Kluyveromyces lactis: one gene and its partner. The protein of the gene in region 1 purifies or fractionates together with the protein of each later gene. This does not show direct contact. Links are inferred from orthologs where the notes say so. Each region holds a gene or a part of one and is shown in the gene's direction. Other genes may lie near its edges.

What was found. Proteins that work in one complex are often made in the same cells at the same time.
Region 2: the proteins of CDC33 (region 1) and XRN1 purify together in Saccharomyces cerevisiae (affinity purification with mass spectrometry; 3 studies listed by BioGRID, with this or other methods). This does not show direct contact. The link is inferred for Kluyveromyces lactis from reciprocal best matches to the Saccharomyces cerevisiae genes CDC33 and XRN1.

Annotation. Positions count from the first base shown.
Region 1 is NC_006041.1:1,875,810-1,878,923, forward strand, and holds CDC33 (translation initiation factor eIF4E), read left to right. Parts: upstream 1-1,868; coding exon 1,869-2,501; downstream 2,502-3,114. Other genes in the region: RTC1 (Rtc1p), read left to right, coding at 1-383; KLLA0_E20989g (uncharacterized protein), read right to left, coding at 413-1,273; VNX1 (calcium/hydrogen antiporter), read right to left, coding at 2,928-3,114. UniProt on the Saccharomyces cerevisiae protein: Recognizes and binds the 7-methylguanosine (m7G)-containing mRNA cap during an early step in the initiation of protein synthesis and facilitates ribosome binding by inducing the unwinding of the mRNAs secondary structures.
Region 2 is NC_006042.1:2,093,951-2,096,540, forward strand, and holds the end of XRN1 (chromatin-binding exonuclease XRN1), read left to right. Parts: coding exon 1-1,646; downstream 1,647-2,590. Other genes in the region: BUD13 (Bud13p), read right to left, coding at 1,743-2,549. UniProt on the Saccharomyces cerevisiae protein: Multifunctional protein that exhibits several independent functions at different levels of the cellular processes. 5'-3' exonuclease component of the nonsense-mediated mRNA decay (NMD) which is a highly conserved mRNA degradation pathway, an RNA surveillance system whose role is to identify and rid cells of mRNA with premature termination codons and thus prevents accumulation of potentially harmful truncated proteins.

The DNA of each region.
Region 1 (3,114 bases):
GGTACGAGCTATTTGAGATTGCAGCGGAGTTGATGAAAAACTGTCCTTACGAGGATATTTCTAGTTCAAGTGCTGGCTTTTCCTCCATTCAGTTATTCTGTGATAAATGCAATAAACCTTTAGTTAACGAATCTTCCAAGGAGAAAATAATCAAAGAAAGACTTGAAGGAAATTCAAGTGCTATGTCCAGGTTTGGATACTGGTACTGCGATTCATGTTCTAAGCGCAATACTCTCTGTTGCTTCTGCAATAAACCAATGAAGAGCTTGGCTATTTCTATGCTTAACTGTGGGCATGAGGGTCACTTCGAGTGTTTGAAAAAATGGTTTTTTGACGAAAACATGGATGTATGCCCATTGGGATGCCCAGCAATCTTATTCTGAAGTCAATTTCCTGTTAATTCGGATCTTTTCTATATCAAGTTATGTTTTTGTAAGAACTCTTTAACGACAACCCAATACCCATCTTGTATTATCGTGTCGTTATGGGAACCGATAGGGAACTCAATAAATCTTTTGCAGCTCGAGGGACATAGTTTATACAATAATTTCATATGAGGGGGTGGGACAATCTCATCTCTTAAACCAGCAAGAAACAAGAAAGGTAAAGTATCATCTTGTATGTTGACAATTTCCTGTTCAGAATCCCAGACTTCATGACACATGAATGCCACATTCTTCAGCATTGGGAAAACGTATGGGATAACTTTGCGAATGGACAGGAAAGTATTTTCTAGGATAATGGCATCGCAGATATCGGTAAATTTTCTAGCAAGATAAATGGCATTAGCGCCACCAAGGGACCTCCCATAAAGTATTAGCTTCCTTGATTTATGAAATTCACTGTTTGTCAAATGGTCCATGACGGTATCTGCGTCTATCTTCAATCCTCTCTCCGATGGGAACCCTGTTGATAACCCATATCCACGATAGGAATACAAAAAAATGGACAAATTAAACTCATTATAGAGAAACCTAGCAACGGGCAGGAAATATCCTATATTCCCCGCATTGGGGCAAAGAACAAGCATGGTTGCAGTCGAATTTTCATTCCTTATATCAAATGCTTTCAATAGAACACCATCCGAAGTCGTTAAAGTGAGATCTTCATAAGGCAAACCGTATTGATCTGGCGTATCTACATGGTCTCTAGCACCTTGTGCCCAAGATGGGTATATAAGCTTGTTTTGGTACAAATATAGAGCGCCCAGTGAAGCAGAAACAATGACAGCTGCGCTTCCGAGTACCATTTTCCCAATTTTGTATAAATGCATACTAGAAGGAAAATGTCGCTTTGGCAAAAAGAAATATGTTACGACAAACTATCACCTTGATCAATAAACTTTCTATTCGATGGATATAGTGACAGCAGCTACGTTAATGAGGTGCTTGTCATAATTAAACTCCCTTTAATTTACATAATACCGATATCCTGCTAAAACAAGCCAGCTACGGTTTGTATTTCAATTCGCATGCTTCGAGAGCATGAAAAACTCCAGAAAACTCAATATTACCCGTCCTTTGAATATAATCACGTGTATTGACAACTGATTCATGTTTTACCCGGACAAGTCGTAACGTCATTACCCTCTCTTAGAAGAAAGAAAAAAAAAAATTTGTAGCAGTGACAGCATAGTACAGGCAGCAGCTGCGAAGGTTTTCAATTTTGTTAACTATGGGAAGTTGGCAAATGGAAGAAAAAATGAAGTTGGATTAACGAATGTGATATCAAAGATTGGATTGACTCTCTGCGCATGTTTAAGATTTTTCGAGTGTTTTTTACTCGTAAATGTATCTGTATAAGACCAGAGGTTACCTGATCAATTTTGAACCTGAAAGACATCGATCTTACGACCAAAGAAGAATATCATGTCCGTTGAAGAAGTTACTCAAAAGACCCAGGATTTAACTGTGGACGAAGCCAAGCCAGCTACTGTTTTATCTGATCCTAAGGAATTTCAATTGAAGCATCCTTTGAGTAGCAAATGGACTTTATGGTATACTAAGCCCCCTGTGGATAGTTCAGAATCGTGGTCTGATTTATTGCGTCCAGTGACCAGTTTGGATACTGTCGAAGAGTTCTGGGCTATTCAAAATGGTATTCCAAAGCCATTCGATTTGCCAATCAAATCTGATTACCATTTGTTCAGAAACGATATCAGACCTGAATGGGAAGATGAAGCCAACTCTGAAGGTGGTAAGTTGTCGTACCAATTCAAGAACAAAAGACATAACATCGATGATTTGTGGTTGAGAACTCTATTGGCCGTTATTGGTGAAACCATCGACGAAGAAGAATCAGAAATCAACGGTTGCGTCTTGAATGTCAGAAAGGCTGTTTTCAAGATTGCTTTGTGGACTAGAACTACCAACTTGAACGCTTTGACTAACATTGCTACCAAGTTTAAGCAAGTTCTACAACTTGGTGAAGGTGAAAAGTTGGAGTTCTACAATCACAGAACTTCTAACTCAGGTCACGCTCCTCCAACCGCTCTATTGTAAATTAGCACATCCCTCCTCATTTCAACACTCAATAAATTAAATCAACATTTACCAAACACTGTCGATGCAAGGGATTATGAGTATAGTTAGAAATCTGTTTTGGACAGGCCTCATCTGATCGCTGTGAATCATCTCAATTTACCTTGACCACATACCCAAAGGGAAAAAAAGCGTATAAAGGGAATCTTTATGGTGCATCACAATCTCGGTTTGTGACAGCACACTTTTGGTATTTTAAAATGGTTGGATTTCACTCTTTCGACATCCATTTCGTGTCCTGCTAATCATAATTCCTTCGACTATTATTCGTAAACTCTTTTTTAAATGATATGTATAAATAATTAACGTGTCTGTTTATTCTTTATTTAAAGTCCTCTCCTGTGTAATTATCAGTGGATTAGTATCTCCACATTTCATTCTGTCAGTTTAGTTTATGAATCTAACGAAAAGAGATATATCCCAGAAATCATCATCTATTATTTCTTGCAAATAGAACCCGAAAATGACAACCAGGTATAATAATATTAAAATGCTTCCTTTGAAATAATTCGATTTCCCCTCTGCATATAAGTAAGTGAATAGAAACACTGACACTACTGATGCAAGTAAATCC
Region 2 (2,590 bases), on another chromosome or scaffold:
ACGAAAGATATATTGAAAAAGAGCCGTTACCAATTAATAAAGAATTTCCAAAAGGTTCAAAAGTTGTGTTTTTAGGTGATTATGCGTATGGTGGGGAGGCGACCGTTGATGGTTATAATAGTGAGACTAGATTAAAACTTACAGTCAAAAAGGGTTCTCTCAGAGCAGAGCCTAACATCGGAAAAGTTAGAGCGAAATTGGATTCTCAAGCCTTGAGATTCTACCCAACACAAGTGTTTTCAAAAATAGCTCGTGTCCACCCTCTCTTCTTGTCAAAAATTACTTCAAGATATTTGGTCAATGATTCTAAAAAGAAAAGCCATAACGTCGGTTTGATGATCAAATTCAAAGCAAGAAATCAAAAAGTTCTCGGTTATGCCAGATGCAGCTCAAACAAATGGGAATACTCTGACGTCGCTCTTGGTTTGTTAGAGCAGTTCAGATCTACATTCCCTGAGTTCTTTGCGAAACTTTCTAACTCGAAGGAACAAGCAATTCCATCGATCACTGATCTCTTCCCTAACAAATCTAGCGCGGAAGCTGATTCCATTTTGAAAACAGTGGCTGATTGGCTCTCAGAAGCAAGAAAACCATTCGTGGTGGTGTCTTTGGAAAGTGATTCGCTAACCAAGGCTTCGATGGCAGCTGTTGAATCTGAAATCATAAAATACGTTTCTTTACCAGATTCAAGCGAGCAGAAGAAATTAGCTAAGGTCCCACGTGAGGCAATCTTAAATGCGGAATCGTCATATGTTCTATTGCGCTCCCAAAGGTTCCACTTAGGTGATAGGGTAATGTACATTCAAGATTCAGGCAAGGTTCCACTTCACAGCAAAGGTACTGTCGTTGGCTACACTTCAATTGGCAAGAACGTCTCAATCCAAGTTCTATTTGACAATGAAATAATTGCAGGAAACAACTTTGGTGGTAGGTTGCAGACCAGACGTGGTTTGGGATTGGACTCTTCCTTCTTATTAAACTTGTCTGATAGACAATTGGTATATCATTCAAAGGCATCGAAGAGTGCTGATAAGAAACCAAAAGCAGTTCCTAATGATAAGCAAGTCGCCCTCGCAAAAAAGAAGAGAGTGGAGGAACTCAAAAAAAAGCAAGCCCATGAGTTGTTAAATCATATCAAGAAGGATAACGCGGAATCAAATACCGAATCTGGATCCGCTCCGCAAATAGCAGTTAACACTTTAAATCCTTCGGCTGCTAACAACGTGTTCAATGCCGTCTTGAACCAAATCAAACCAGGTTCTCAACAGCAAATTCAACCACCTCCAGCAAATTCTCTGCCTTACAATTTCACTGTTCCCCCACATATGGTTCCTGGTGGTATTCCTCATCCTCTTATGATGCAGCCGCCTTTCATTCCGAATAATGAGCATATTGCTTATGCAGCTCCTCCTCAGTCACAACCTGTACAAAATCCACCATTAGATAAAGAGGCATCCAGGAATCTTAAGAATCTCCTAATTAGAGATGAGAATGGACGTACAGCAAATGTGGAGAATAAAGACTCAGATGATACAAAGAGATCTTCTCATTCTCGTGGCGGTCGTCGTGGCCGTAGTAATCGTGGTCGTGGTGCCTCCGGGAGGGGTGGTCATTTCAAAAATTCTCCTAAAAAAACTGAAACCTGAATGTTGGTTTGAATGGACTATTAACAGTAAATATTATATCACTTCAGTAAATAATGCTTAGTATATAAGAATAGAGACACTTTCAGGTTCAACTTTTCAAAATTCCCGGTTTGTTGTTTGTTCCTTTATTTTTTGATCAGCGATATCGTGACTCTTAGCAAACCACTTAGTTTCAAACCCATTTGATCTATCAACTCCATCCCATCTATAACCGGGAACGATACCGAACCGATTTTCTGGAAAGTTTTTCTCGTAAAGCCTTCGACCCAACAGTGACGTATTCGTTCCTCGCAGGGTGTTTCCTTGATTCAATGGATCTTCGGTTGATAATAATGCACTTTTCTCAGTTTTGCGATCAAGTTTTGATATTTGTACTTCGCCTATATTTCGTATTTTAAGTTCTTCTTCCTTACGTACTTTCGCTGTCAAATTAGCCTTTTCTCGAAGTTTCAATTCTTCTTCGTATCCATCTATTACCTTACCTTTTTCGTCTCTATATACTGTGTTCTGATTCTTCTTGAGAAGCCCTGATTTTTGCATAGAAAGTTTTTCCTTTTCTGCGATCTGCTTTTCCATCTCTTCTGCTGTCTGTAACCCAGCAAAGGCGCCTGACGACATCCTTTCCTTACTATCGTCCTTTTTGTCGACATCAACGTGTTGTACAAGTTCCAACTTTTCAGTTTCAAGGTTTTTCCAAAGAGACTTTCCTGTTTTATTTGAGCTTGCAGCCTTCTTGTTTTCTTCAGTAATAAGATTAGCCTTGTCAATAATATCAATATTTCTTGATGTGACTCTTTTAGACTCATCGCTCTTTCTGTGTGATGACTTATCCTTAGACTTTTTCGTCTTCTCTTTACCGTGCTTTGAGCCGTAAGACTTCGCCAAAAAATCGTTAAGTGACATTATATTAATTGGGTCGGTTTGCAATTCTACCCACCCTAAAT